Linked DNA regions of Lonchura striata. The protein of the gene in region 2 interacts with the protein of the main gene of each other region in a biochemical or structural test. Links are inferred from orthologs where the notes say so. Each region holds a gene or a part of one and is shown on either strand. Other genes may lie near its edges.

Evidence for each region.
Region 1: the proteins of GLI3 (region 2) and SUFU are reported together in a solved structure, tested with the Homo sapiens proteins (2 studies listed by BioGRID and IntAct, with this or other methods). The link is inferred for Lonchura striata from reciprocal best matches to the Homo sapiens genes GLI3 and SUFU.

The regions. Positions count from the first base shown.
Region 1 is NC_134609.1:20,014,762-20,022,588, forward strand, and holds the start of SUFU (suppressor of fused homolog), read left to right. Parts: upstream 1-4,827; 5' UTR 4,828-4,887; coding exon 4,888-5,063; intron 5,064-7,827. Other genes in the region: ACTR1A (alpha-centractin), read right to left, coding at 2,794-2,841. UniProt on the Homo sapiens protein: Negative regulator in the hedgehog/smoothened signaling pathway. Down-regulates GLI1-mediated transactivation of target genes. Down-regulates GLI2-mediated transactivation of target genes. Part of a corepressor complex that acts on DNA-bound GLI1.
Region 2 is NC_134603.1:104,409,851-104,417,182, forward strand, and holds the start of GLI3 (transcriptional activator GLI3), read right to left. Parts: upstream 3,059-7,332; 5' UTR 2,952-3,058; intron 2,881-2,951; exon of another isoform or gene 2,747-2,880; 5' UTR 2,622-2,746; intron 2,089-2,621; exon of another isoform or gene 2,033-2,088; intron 1,363-2,032; exon of another isoform or gene 1,174-1,362; intron 1-1,173. UniProt on the Homo sapiens protein: Has a dual function as a transcriptional activator and a repressor of the sonic hedgehog (Shh) pathway, and plays a role in limb development.

The DNA of each region.
Region 1 (7,827 bases), on a different chromosome or scaffold from region 2:
TAAATTTTAATCTGAGCAAAAGAATAAAAGAAGAAAAACTACATGAGTAAAATGTAATAGTCAATGAAGATAAATTAATAAAAAATTCTTCTGAGTGTCTTGAAGGAACTGAACATACCCATCTACTGAAGATACTGAAAAATCCCTGAACATGCTCATCTACTAGCTCTGTGGCCAGTTGTTAATGGATTCATTCATCTTGATGCATTTTAGGAATCAAATTTAAATGGAAATCACCAGTCAATCTTTCATGTAGCACTTTCTATGGAGAGTGCACATTTCATATTGTTGTAACACTGTTTTATTAGATAAAGAATTTTTAAGATCAAGAACAAACCAAAGACAAGAGCCCTTGATGACAGCTCAGCTGCATAAAATGCCACCACTAAAGACTACAAAGCAAACCAGAGATAATTCCAAGTTCTATGGAGGTCAAGGAATTTGCACTGACTTAGGCCACAGCTGGACTACTGACATGTGCATTATGTTCAGCAGGGCTCCCAGACCGTTCAGAGAGAACTTGTTGGACTGCAGATGGGAATACAACTCTTAAAAATTAGACAATCAAGAGTAAAAAGTTGTGCTGAGGTACAGCTCCAGCTTCCCACTGTACATTACAAAGCTCTCCCTGCTGAAAGCATACAGCTAAGAGCAATTTGTGGTAAGAGAAATAAACGTCCCTGTTAATTTTTTAGCTACAGAACTTCATGTCCTTTTGGAACACACTTTAATTCTAGAGCAGGGCTGGGACTGGAGGGGTCTGGCTCTCACCAGCTCAGTATCTCACCTCCCCCTTTCCACACACAGGCACATGTGAGACAGGATAACATTCAGCCTTCTTCAGTTCTCTGCAGAAAAGCAGTAATGAGACAGCAGTGAGAAGTGGTACCTGCTCTGTGCAGCTCCACTTCCCATCCTGCCTGAACTCCAAAGAGTAGCAAAAATGCAGTGTCACCACGAGTCTCCTTGGCCCAGAGCCTGCCAGCGTTACAGGCAGATGCCACAACAACTGCTCCATTCTCCTTCTTGTAAAGGGAGGGGAAGGGGGAAGCTCGTTTATTGGAGAGGCAAGAACAAGAATTAGCTTTTATAAGACCAGCTGATAAAATGAAAAAGACACAGAATCAGCTGCTGGCACATGAGGCCTTCTTCAGGTCTGAGGCAGAGGCAGCAATCATTGCACTAAATAACAAAAGGACATGCTGAAATTAAATATAGGCTGCTCCTGCACTAATAGCTCAACTAAGTGATCCTCACAGCTCCAGAATACCTAGAGATAACTTTAATGTTTAGCTAATCACTCAACAATGCAGCAGGATCAGTGCTGATACAGGCATTCCTAAAAACAATCAACTTAATGCATTTTTTAACATATTCAGTAAAGGACATACATGTTTTTCTCAACACAGTCAATTTCACTCCTTACTATCCTTTTCTATTAGATGCTTTCCTTCCATGTCTAACTAAAATCCTTCATCTGTAAGATTCCAGGGAAATAAAGCCAAAACTGTATCAGAGAGAGGAATTTGGGATCCACAATACAGAAAAAGTCAGAAGAATAATTGCCGTTATCTGAGAAGACCTACAATCATTCACTGCATGGAGAGTTAAAGCAATAGGCTGAGAACTGCCAGGGCAGGAAACCCAATTCATATGGAAAAAAAAAAATCGGGAGAAATTAAGCTTGTGGAAGAAAAATGGAGCACAGCACTGACCCTTCAAAACAACAGAATATCAATCACTGGCGATAGAGGTCAGAAGGGAGGAGCACGAGTTTGTGACTCATTACACTGAAGGAGGCTCTATCCAAGACATGCCCTCCCATTCCTTCCTGGATGGTCCTTCCTCCTGGGAGGGCAGCATGGATGGGGCAAATCAGAACTGGACCCAGAAGTACCTCAAAGAGGCACAGAATCACTGTCATTCATCTCCTGCAGAGCTATTACATACACAGACTGAAGGTCTGCTTTGTGCTAATGAGCACCATCAGCAATACTGGAGCAGCCATCTGCAACACCACACTGCGCTGATGTAACCCTGGGAACAGATCCTTCAGCAGTGGCATTCCCTTGTTGTGAGGGGCACTGCCTTGTTGTGACCACTGTGCTGGATGCACTGGATGAGGGGGCACAAGAGGTCAAGGCTTCTCCCTCGCTGGGCCTGCGAGGGGTGCCTGGCTGCAGAGCATCATATCCTGCACGGGGCCAGGGAAGCGCCAGCACCCCCAGAGCTTGCTGGGGTCCAAGCACGGCCTAGCAGGAGCACACTGGAGCCCTGGCCAAGGCCTGCCCCACAGCACGCTGGCAGTGTGGCCACGGCCTGGCCCAGCACCCCCATTGTCCCCCCGGCACAAAGAGGGGTGGGCGGGGCCGGGGAAGCCCCGCCCGACTGACAGCGCCAGCTGCCAATGAGCGCGGGTGCTCTGGCGACAGTCCCGCCCCGCTCCGGCAGGCAGCAGCGGGCTGCGCCGCTGACTGACAGCTGTCTCAGCCAATGGGGGCGCGCCGCCCCTCCCAACCAGCGGCAGCTCAGCGGCGGCGGGGGCTGCGCCCCCCAGCGCGGGGCAGCGGCCCCGCCGTGGCTGACTGCCACTCGCCCCAGCCAATCGCGACTCGCCGAGGCGCAGCGGCCCCGCCCCCCGAGGACGCCGTATGGCGCCGTGCGAGGGCCGGAGGCGGCGGCCGAGCCGGCCGAGGTGGGGGGGGGGGGGCGGCGGGCGGGGAGCGGCCGCCCCGATGACAAAGGGATTGCGGGCCCTCCCCGCTCCCGGGACGCGCGGCCGCCCGCACTCACGTTGTCTATCACGACGGGCTGGTTCGCTATCACATCGTAGGATTCCATGGCGAGGACCCGCCGCAGCCGCCCGTGAGGGAGCAACAGCCCAGCCCTCGGCGGCGCATGCGCGGAGCGGCGACGCGGCGCCGCCTGGGTGATGTATTCCTGCCGCCGCGGCGCCTGCCGGGAGTTATAGTCCGACGCTGCGCAGAGTCAAGCGGGGAGGCGCGCCGGGAGCGGAGCACGCCGGGAGCTGTAGGCCGGCACCGGGAGCGAGCCATGCCGGGAACTGTAGGCCGGCGCTGGGAGCGGGCCATGCCGGGAACTGTAGGCCGGCATCGGGAGCGGGGCGTGCCGGGAGGCGGAGTGCGGAAAAAGGGAATCCTGCGGACACATCCACGGCCTAGACACCGGAGAATGTTGCGGTCCAGGAGATAGCTGGGTGCTTCCACCGGAAACGCTGCACCGCAACTGGCTGGCTTCCGCTTAATAGATTCTCCCCTCTTAATTTTTTCTAATAGGAAAGGAGAAAAAGGTGATTATATCAACTTCTGTAGAGGGTATCTATGACTACGGAAAGTGTTTTATTGTCCCATAATTTCATGTGATCATCTTTATGAACTACTGGTCATAAGTCATCTGTTCCCTCCACGAAACACCAGTTTCTCTCCATTTTTGAGGTACAAGAACCACAAAAGAGGTGTCAGTATAAAGAATACACATCATGATCATTTCAGTATTGAACAATGAACACACTGTCATTTCCATTGACTAAGTATTCTAAAAGCACTTGGAATAATCGATCACTGAAACTCTGGATCTTGAAACTAATTAAAATGGATTTTCATGCCACTGAGCAAACCTGAAGGCTTGACTCACCTGTCTTGTCCCACATCTCTCCTGCAGACATGGACTTTTCTCCTGTAGTTCCTGCCTTTAGCTCCAGTAGATAAGTTTCATCCCAGATGTTTACATTTAGCGACCTTCCCCATTCACCTAGTCTAAAAGAGGGAGTTTTTATACAGCAGGATTGAGGGGTTTAGATGAAAGACAGTGTTGTATCACTTCAGTGAATGGCAGGAGACACTCACTATGGGTGTTTCCAACGCAGCCTTTCTACATACTCTGTTACACTCACCTTCTCAGCTGACTGCAGCTGACTACTCAGGCAGATGACACAAAAAGTAGTATCATGGTAACAGGACAAGTGAAATATTTTTCACTGTGGAAAGTGAGGACACCAACTGCTCACCTCCTTTATCAGAGGATTGTCATTTGGCTGTCAGCTTCTTCACCATGTGTGTTCCCCCAAATGGTGTTGTGAAAGTTTTTAGAATAAACTCTCACCTATTTAAGTGAGAAATGCGAGCAGGGCGCCCACCATCTCTGCTGAGCACTCTATAGCTCTTTTTTTTTCTATTTCCTGATTAACAAGCAGGACCCTGCTCTAGCAAAGGTGTGTAAACTACTGCGCACACACCATCCACATGTACATACCCGGCTTTGCACCTCCACAGCTGTAGCTGCAGCTCGGGAATGAGCCAGACCGTCAGTGCGCTTGTGCACAAGCCAGAATCCGCGATCGCAGAGCCCCAGACTTCACGCACTGGCAGCTTCCAGCTGCCTCCAAGGGCCCTGCATTGGCGGGGGTGTAAAGGCAGCAGTCAGAGCCCCGCTGTGCTCCCGGGCCCGCCGGGCGCGGAGCTCCCGCTCCCCCGGACCCGCTCCGCGTTCCCGCCACCGCCGCGCGCGGCCGCCGCCCCGCCCACCGCCCAGCCCCGCGCCGCCGCTAGGGGGCGCGCCCGACCCGCAGCGAGGGGCGGGGCAGAGACGCGGCCGCCCTCCGGGCGGCGAGCTCCCATTGGTCAGTCCGTCCTGTCACTCAACGCCGCCCTTGCAGCGGGGCCCCACCTCCTCTGCGCGAAGCCCCGCGCAGCGCCGCCATTGGCGGAGGCGGTCTGTCACTCACGCGGCCCGGCAGTAGGCCCCGCCCCTCCTCCCGCGGCCCCACGCAGCCGCTTGGGCCGGGCAGGGCCGGGCCGGGAGCGCCTGGCGGGAGCGGAGCGGGTTCGGCACCAACCGGGACGGGCCGGGACCAGCCGCCTCCGGGACATGGAGGGCGTGCGGCCGGGCGGGGGGCCCCCCGCGGGCGGGCCGGGGTCCGGCTCGGGGTCCGGGTCCTTCCCGTCGCTGTTCCCGCCGGGGTTGCACGGTATCTACGGCGAGTGCCGCCGCCTCTATCCCGACCAGCCCAACCCGCTCCAGGTCACCGCCATCCTCAAGTACTGGTGAGGCGGCCTGGATGGGGCCGGGGTCTTGCGTGGAGCCGGGGGGAGCCGCGGGGCCGGCGCCTTGTGTGGGATAGGAGAGGGTTTGGGAGGAGGAGTGGGAGTGGGAGAGGGTTGGGAGAAGCACTGGGGCTGGGGCCGTCGCACGGGGTAAGCTGGAGGGGCTGGGGAGGGTTGTGGCAAGGGCAGGGACTGGGGGTTGCGTTCTGTGTCAGGGGTGATTTGCGGGAGTTTTGGGGACATGCAGCGGGTCTGCGGATGGGGGGATTGGGGGTGCAGTTGGTTGCCTAGGTGTGTGTTTGGAGGGGGCTCCTGGAGAGAATGTGCTGGTAATAGAAGGGTCTGGAGAGGTGTGCCCTGAGGACAGGAGAGTGTATTGGGGTTTCTGGGGTGATTTGGAGGGTCCACGCCTGAGGGGTTGCTGATGAAGGCCCCATCTGGGGCAGGTCTTATGAAAAGGGCGTGCGTGTTACTCAGTGGAGGTGTTCCCGCAGAAGGTGAGGGAGGGTCTGGAGTTTCCCCCCCGGTCAGGAGTGCCGGGCTCTGTCTTCTGGCCAGGGGCCTGGGGCTCGAGTGCGGCGGCACGGACCGGAGCGAACCCGCTGTTGCAGCCTGCAGGCCGGGCACATCCCTGTGTACCCATACAGCCCTGCCCATACGGGGCACTGCCAGCTTCTCTTGGCCTTACGTAGCTATGTGTTATCACAGAATGTGAATCTGCTGTTCAGTGTCTCTGCTGACACAGTGTCTGACACCAGGAACAGCAGTTGTTTATGTGGGAGAGTGGCATGAAGGAAGTTCTTGGATGTTTAGCTATCAAGATAAGTGTCTAGTGTCTAATCCCGTGTGAAGAGGAGTTCCTTTTGCTTTTTGCTTAACTGGATCGCTTAGCTGCGCAGCCCCTTCTTCTGGGGCTAAGGAACATGATCAAGTCACCCCTGAATGTTTTCTTTATGTCACATTGGCCTGTCCCTACCCTAGTACTTGAAAAAAAAACTAGTAAATGCTCAACTTCTTTAGTTACAGCTCATTTCAACCTGTATGTCTTTATCTAATTAGAGACCTGAGCAACAGCAGAATAACATCCTCCCTGTATGCTGCTCTGACAGACAAAGCTATTGCTGTTTTTGTCCACAGAAGTGTTGTTTTTCAAGTGATTCTAGCAAGAAGTTTGTTAGCCCTTATTGTCTAGGGGAGTATTGTATTAAAATGACACAGTGGGCTAAGATATTGCAAATTTGAGACTTCAAAATATAAATAATTTCTTAGTCATTGTGCACATCAGTACTTTGGTGGTGGTCTGATCAGTCTGTTTTTACACCTATGTCTAATCTTAGATACTCATGAAGAGTTTCCAGTCACGTTAGCACTTCTTTTCTATCAACAGCTTAAAACATACTGACTGTATTGACATAAGATTTTTGGAGGCTGAGGGAAATTTAGGTCTGTAGTGAAGAATGGCAAAGGCCCTTGTTTGGGAAGAAACCTTGTTGCTTAAGGGATTGATTAGGGTTTTGCTGCAGTTGGAGCTCAAACGCTAAAAGAATTGTTGCTGGCAGTGATGGCAGGTTGCAAGTAAGAAGTAATGTGAAGGCCTGTTTATCCTGGCATTTTCCACTTAGTGGTTCCTCCAGCTGTTAGCTCAGCCAGCAGTGAGAGCTGAGAGTTTCTGTTGTAGAGGTGAGCTTCCTACTGCTGTCCTGTGCAGGAAATGCTTGTGTGAGGTAAAACCTCTATGGACACCAGAAGTTCTTTCTCTCCTGTTGTTGGGTGAAAACTTGGAGCTTGATTTTGTTAAGTTCTCTTAAGTAGAACGACTCCTGCCACAACTCTCTGCTAATCTGTCCTACTCTGCCTGGGCTGCCAGCTATTAGCTGGTTTACATTAGAAGAGGAAATGGCTGAATTAAATTCTCTGCCTTAGGAGAAATATTGTATCACTAATCAGCTTTTAATTATATGTATCAGTTTCTCTACAGTTAACAGCGATTTGGTTTTTTTTGTTCAGGGAGCTGAAGTTGTAGTCTTTGGCTTGCAGATCAGAGCAGATCCTAACTGTGGAACATTGGAGAATCTGCAGAACTCCATGCCTGTTGCATAAAGGGGTTTAGCCATGTTGGGAGAAGTCTTGGGATCCAATCAGAACTTCTTGGAAGCGTTTCTGTCTATTTTTGTGAAGGCCATGCACCAAGATGGAGTTTGTCTGTTGATATCCAATATCCACTTTTATTATAAAATGTGGTAGAGTATCTCAAATTTAAATATCTTGTTGCATAGAATTGCTGGTGAAAAAAATAAAATTTATTCTTTTTTTGTGATGGGTTTTGAAATAAGTATAATTCGGCCTTGACTACTGGGTTTTTATCACCTGTCTTAAATTTAGGCCATACTTACAAAAACCTGTGCAGTGAGCTGTGGTCCGCAGCCTTTTGGGAATCACACACTATTTCTGAAAGGTTCTCAAAAGGTAGCTGTGAAGAGCAATGCTATTGTCAGCTTCTGGGAAGTGACTACAAACAATACACTAAGGACTTTTCTAGGTGGATGAATTAGGAGTGGAGTTTTCCAATGACTTTCCATTGTGGGTCTCTTTCCTCTCTGCGTTTTGTGTTTCGCCTTCCACACAAACTTCGGAGTGCTCTTAACATCAGTCAAAAGAAGATTCTTGGTGCAGATGCAAATACAGGGTTTCCCCTGAGGCGGTCCTTCCTGCTCCTGAATGAGCTCCATGAATAGAGAATGTAACAAATTTGTACTGTACCTCT
Region 2 (7,332 bases):
ATACACTGAGAGAGTCCTTTTCTTACTCATTCTTCCTACTCATTCAAAATCACATAATCCTGCTTTTAAAGAAATAATTCCCTGTCCTTAAAATAGCCTCCTCTCATAGTTACTATTATTTATGCTTTTAGAATTGGGCTATACACAAAACTGAAAGTATTTACATACTAGCTGGTTATACCCAAACCTTCCTTATATAAACAAACTCTCAAGAGGCTGCCTACAGTTTACATTGCTAAACTCATTCACCATTACTTTTAATATATATTTCCACGACTGAAATACAGTGAAGATGGCAGTTTTTACATTTTTGGATTACTTTACTTTTAAAACACTGCATTCGTCTTCCTTCAAAATAATCATGACATATATAATTAAGAAACTGTCAGATCATTATCAATTTTTAATAAAGGACCTAAATGAAATAATTATAGGAATCAATCAGTGAGGCACCTCTCCAAATTACAATGCAATTGCACAAATATTCAAACTACTTAAGGCCAGTTCTGGAACATTTCAATCCATAATCTCTTTAAACACCACAACAAAACCAATTTTGGAACACAGAGAAACATAGTGATTTCTCACTATTCCAGTGACTTAAACGATTTCAAAACAGATACCTACAGCACAGAGAGACAGAGAGGCAGCCGTGCCCTCCTAAAAATGTTTCTTGGTTTAATCAGCCACATGTCTCAAGGCCTCTGGAAAATTTTGCTTCCAAGTTTTTCTGTAGCACGCACACAAAAGAAACGAAGTCTGCACGCTGAAGCTTAAAAAATCATGTTTATTGAGGCTTGCAAATGAAGCGGGAAGTAGCAAGGGTGCGACGAAGAGGAGCATTTTGCCGTGGGTTGCTACTTAATGTTCTTTTAGTGAAGTAGCCTCCAAAACGTGACACTGTGTATCAAACAGACAGCTATCCGTACCTCTGACTAAAAGGCTCTTTGAGATGAGTACAGTCCATCATTTCAAACTGAAGTGGCAGCTGGAAAATGTGGAACAGCTGGCAAGGAGCTGGGAGAAAATGTTTTACATAAATGTATCTACATACAAACTGGCAGAAGGCCACGGACACCGTACCCGCAGGACCGGATAAAAACTACGCACCAGAGGGTTAAAAACAAAACTGGGGAGTGAGATGGGGAGCGAGGGGCGTGTGTTTCCTTTTACCTTTTCTCTTCACGTGGTGCGCGGGTTGGGGAGCGGGCGCTAGCAGCTGCGAGCCGGCGGGCCCGTCCGAAGGCGCGGGGATTGTGCCAACACCCACCGACTTCACGGGACAATCGGAACCGCGGCGGGCGCGCCGCGCTCCCATCCTGCAAAGTTGGGCGGTGCACGGCCGGGCCGCGGTGCCGGCCCGGGGCGGCTCCGGGGCGCTCCCGCGGGGCGGCCGCGCCGCTCCTCCCGCCCGGCCTCGGCCGGGCCCGTCCCGCCGCCCCGCTCCCGCCGGACCCGCGCCAGGGCGGCGCGGAGCGGCCGAGCGCGCTGCTCACGGAGCCGCCGGCACCCCCGCGCCCCCCTCCGGGACCCGACCGTCCCCTTCCTCGCAGGGAGCAGCCGGCAGGGAACGACGACCCCCGGGCGCCCCTCCGCCCCGCCAGATGTGACAGCGGATTCGCCCCCGCTCCTCTCGCCTTTCCCCCTGCGAAGTTTGTGCCGGCCTCCCGCCGCACGGGCGTGAAAACCCCCTGGAGTCGCTCAGGGAGTAGGGGCGAGGAGAAAGAAGGGGGTGGAAATAAAACAGCAGCTGTCGCCCGCACATCGGCAGCTCTGCCGCGGGACGTGCCCGGCCGAGCCCGGCTCGGAGCGGGGACTGCCCTCGCCTCGCCCCGCACCCCGCGCCCTCGGCTCCCGCGCTCCGTGACAGCCATTTTGGGGGTTAGACACCTCGGTCCCCCCCGACCCCCGCCTCCAAGTTAGGGAAGCGGGAAGCGGGCCGGGAGCGGGGCCGGAGCGCTGGGAGACGACAAGAAAGTGGCCCGGAGTAGAGCCGGGGAACAAAGAACTTCTCGCCCAAGTGGGTACGTACCTGCCGCCGCTGCCGCCGACCCCCGCGCTGCCCATGGGCGAGGGCCGGGACCGCCGGCTCGTCCCCGCGCCGCTCCGCCGCCGCCGCGGCTAGCGGGGCCGGCCCCCGCCGCGGCCGGCGGGCATCCCGCGGGGCAGGGGGACGGGACGGGACACAGGCGGGACGGGGGCGGCAGAGGAGGGCCGGCGGGTGTTGGTGCTGGTTGTTTTATCCCTGCCCGCCTCCCGCGGGGAGCAGCCCGCGCCTCTGCCTCCGTGTGGGGGTGTGTGTGCGCGGGTCCGACATCAGTTTCAGTGATCTTGTAATCTGATCCCTTCTGACTCACTCGCACTGACTGACATTTCTGATTCGGTTCAACAAAAAGAGCAGAGGGGAGGAGAAAAAGAAGAAAAAGAAGAGAGGGAGCAAAAGAAAAAAAAAAAAGTATCCCCAAATCTACGGCCTGGTACCAGTTTTGGTGGGGAAGGGGGAACCCCTCCGTCCCGTCCCGTGCCGCCCGTCCCCTCCAGCCCCGCCACCGCCCCGCATTGTTTTGGCTCGGCGCAGCCACCGAAGGAGGGGAACAAACACATCGCGCCGAGGTACTCACGTGTCGGAAAAGTTGTCCCTCTCTCTTTCCTCCGTCTCGCGCGCTCCTCTCCGCCGCCTCCTTCAAGTTTTACAGATGTTGCAGGGCTGCTCGTCGTCGCCTCCCCCTCCTCCCAGCGCTGCCCTCTGGATCAGATCAGGGGAAAGGCTCTTTAGGGATAACTCCCGATTCAAACACCCTCCGCTAAACTTTCCCCATTCCCTCCCCTTCCTCTGAGCGGCGGAGAGGGCTCCGCTTTCCTTCCCCCCTTCCCTCCGCCCGTTCGGGACGCGGCTGGCTGCTGCCCGGGGCGCGGGTGCCCCGGGCGCGGCGGGGAGCGGGGCCGCTTGCCTGGGGGAGCGGCGGAGGGCTGCGCCCCGGGGTGCGGGTCGGGCCGCGGCCTGCCGGGCTGCGACGCGAGCTCTCGGCATGACACCCCCGCTCCCCCCTTCCTCCTCCTCCTCCTCCTCCCCCGCCATCCCCCCGGCCCGGCCCGGCCCGCCCCGGCGGCGGCCCAAGGGCGGCGACACCCCGCCCACAGCCAGAAGGCAGCGCGGGGCGACGGCGGGTCCCCCCCGGAGCGGCCCCTCCGCCTCGGGTCGCGCTTCCTCCCTCTCCCTCCTCTCCCGCTCCATCCTTCGGCTCAGCCTGCATCTGCAGCCCCATTTCCCGCGCACCGATGCCTTGGACACCCCCTTTTCCCGCCCGCCAAAAATCCAGGGCTTTTTGGGGGTAAACGTGCCCTTCGCGTGGGTTTTCTGTGTATGCTGCGCCTTTTGGGCTCACGTTCGCTCTGGCGCAGCAGGCTGACTTGACTGAAGGACTTCAAGGAAAGTTTCACCTAAGCCATGTGACACCGACAGATAGCTCTTTTGGAGAAAAAATACAAGTGCTTTGTCGAGGGGAAAAGTGGCGGTGATGCCTGCGCCGGCTCCTCCTTTCCCAGCCCACCTGCCAGCCTCCTCAGCACCCTGCCAGGCTCCTCTGGCCTTCAACCTACGAAACAGGGCTCTCAGCTGCCTCCGTCTTTGGCCCTCATCTCCGTTCTTCCTCCGGGCTCCTTGCGAGCAGGTTTCTCACAACAGCATGCTGCAGTCCAGAAATAGCAAGAACTAGGATGCCATTTGTTCCAGTATCTCCATCCTTCGGGAAATGATGTGTCCTGACAAGACACCTTACATTTCCAAAGTTTGCAGATTGCTCCCTGATATTAAAAAAGTCTGAGAAACCGTAAATTAACACTACCACAACCATTTTCCATCAAGTCACAAGGTGGGACTGGCTCTCGGGAAAAGTATATGTGTATATATATATATAAATATATTTAAATTGCTGCCGTCACAATATCAGATACTTTACATGCACTTTTGTTCATAACCTGACTCACAACACAGCCAAGTAAAGATTTGTTACTGATACATGCAATTTAGCAAGGTACCCGAGCTTGGGCTACATTTGGAAAGTCCTCAAAAAATTAGTGGTTCTTGACAAAATGTTATGTTTGCTGATGGAAATGAAAGACTGATTTGATGCTGTGTATTTCATAAAGCTTCTCTTAGTCTCACCATTGAAAATGTTGATTTTATTACAAAACAAAGCTGCAGGTATTTGTGGTTTGAGATTACTTGGTCCACTAGTTTTTTAAAAACAAAGAGAAAGCAATCTTACCTAACTCAAAGGGCCACTTCAACCCTAATTTCCTCAGGCTAACTGGCTTGGTGTTGTTTTTCACCTGTAAATCTTTTCTGGGTGCAAGAAGTAGCTTTAGCGAGATGCCTATAATACATGGATGTTCCTGCTACGGTCAGACTAATTGCCCTGGCGGTCCCAGGGATGCCTTTTATATGCACATTTTACAGCACCAGGTCAGCACAGCCTGACTTTCAGGATAGACACAGTAGTCAGATGCTGTCACACTGAGTGAGAGTTGCACATTGTTCAAGCTGCCACGCATGCCCGGGCACTGTTGGAGGTGGGCACCGGGGACCAGATGAGAGCCTGTGCTCTGGTGCCATGCCTCCGAAGCCAGTGATTTCACAGCACACCAAGAGACAAATCTGCCCCTGCTCCGAAGGAGCAGCCCCTGGCTGCCCAAGCAATACTGCTGACATGCATAGTGCTACACAGGGAAGAGGCATGTGCAACACCAGCATCTGAATGCCAATATGAAGAGCTGATATTCTTCCAACTTTTTTATCTTATATGACTTCCTTTTCCAGTCTCATGTTCCCAGGAAAATGTTAGCTGTTTCATGATATATGATAATAGTGGTGTAGTACTGCGGATGTTTTGTTTTAGCTATATGTGCTATATACACCACCATATGTATGTACTTTATGTGACATGCACACCACCCCCTGATACATATATATGTGCTGGGGGAGTGCTGGTGCACAGAGTGATTAGGCAAACCTCAGGTCCCTTTACAGATATGTTTAAGAGCAATATAATTCCTTCGGCCCATTGTACTCTTCTCTCATTTTCTGCCTCTTGCTTATTCCTTTCTATTTTATGCAATCAATTTTCTTAAACTCTTTTTTTTTTCTCTTTGTATAATGAAAACCCTTAAAAGTAACAGGGGAAATTAACCAACATCCAAAATGATACTTTGTAAAAGAAACAAATTAATGTGGAAAATCCTGTTTGACTCACCATTTATAATTCAGTATTGCTGATGTTAAGATACTGCTTTTAATAAAAGCTTAAAAGACATTTAAACTGGGGCATGATTTTGAGACTGGGCCTTCAGGTCAGTATTCATCTTAGACTTTTTAAAAAAATAAGCTATTTCCTCAGAGTTTGGACATCTTGTTACATCATGAAACAGCTCTTTGAGTTTTGGGGGTTTTTGTTTGTTTTTAATATTATTCACACCAACTCTTCTCAAGACACATATTTCTAATTTGAGATAAATAACCCAAAGCATTTCTCTACACTCAATTCACATTAAGACAGACCAAAAAATATAAAGAGGTGATAGAATGCTTTAACATTTGCTTATGAAAAATAGCTTTCTGATGCATTTTTGAGCAGTGAAAGTCTTGAGAGAAGGGAAACACAGAAACAATAACTGAAGTTTCTGCTTGTGCCTCTGTCTGCTCAGGCCAAGCAGAAAATAAAAACTGATGGTGAGTGGGTGACATTTGCCATTTGAAACGTACTGTAAATGTTTCAACACCTTGACAATGAAGAGTGCAAAAGAAGCTTAGAACATCCAACCCTTCAGCTTAACAAAATGAAAATGGGCAGCTCTGTTCAGGGAGGTGCCTTTCTTATCATCTTTCATGTCTGATTCAGAGGAATCGTACTTGAAAGATGCAATGGGAAGACAAAAACTACACATTAATAAAACATAATGATTTTTCCACGTCTGGATTGCGCCTCCAAGAGAAATTAACCTCTGAGATTTGTCTATGATGTTTCCCTGCAAGTAGGAATTGGCTCCTGCAGAAGACCTGTTGACCTGTTACAAAACTCATTTCTCTGACTCAATATGCCACAACCACAGGGCATTTCTGCTGTGAGTTATATCATGCATGATACTTTTGCATTTCTTCAGCCTACCTTGTCTCCCCGCTTCTTCTCAGCCTCTGACTTGAAAATTACAGTCCTCCAAGGTGTGCATTTGTCTTCTCCTTTTGCTGCACCTGTTGTTACAGGAAAGCACAGTCAGAAGGAGCAGAGACTCTGCTCATAAGCTGTATGCAAAAGACCTGATATTCAGTGACACCAAGAACCAGTCTCCTCACCACTCCCAGGTGCACCACCCTCCACCTTCTCTCCAATCCCAGCAAATGCTCTACAGGACATATTCAAGGACCTTAACTGTTGCTGTTTATCCAGTTGACATCCAGTAGAAGACAAAGGTTTTAAAACAGTCCCTTTCTTGACAGTAGGCAATTACAAGAATACATTCTATGAAATAGGTCTGCTGTGATTTCACAGGGACAACCTCAGGTAAAGCTGTGGAATATGGAGCAACGGCACCGATTTCTGGTCATTTATGCAATATCCATCACAAGAGAGCTTGACCAGTGCATCTTGCCCCTACCTACATATCTCCTGTGTTGCATGGCTGCCTCTTACAGCAGATGTGTCTCAAGAGTTACCTAGTGGAAGGAAAAGAGGAGTATAAGATGGTATCATGTCAGAATCCTCAAAGTCTGCACAAGCTGCAGCTGGGGGCACAAGGAAAGATTCATGGCCCAAGGTGGGATGAAGAACTGGTGCATGGAGGCAGCCACATTTGGGAAGGATATAAAGGTCAGGCAAAAACCTTATCTGCAGTTACTGTCAGGCAATTGATTTAGAAAAGGCAAATGATGTGGGGTCTGAGAAACAACTAATTGTTTGGTTCTGAAAGAAATTATAAACTGATGTGCCACTACACACTAGTGTAAATTAGTAACTTTGGATCCTTTCATTATTTGGATGTTTGATTTTTATTACTGCCATTGAAAAAAAAAAAGGAAATTTATCAGCAAATATCCAGATGTGTCAAATAGCAACCTTCATTCAGGAGTCTCAGTTTTCTAAGGATGGTCATTGCAGCCTTTCACAGACTTGATATACATAATTCCTCTGGTAGTCCATAGCAAGGAACCACTATATCTTTCTCCTTCTTTTGCTAACACTGGGGACATTGCTAGATTTCAGTGGAAAAAGGACTGAACCCTAATGATCAGATTTATCTTTCTACTCTAGCAGATCATTTTTTGTACACCGTCCTATT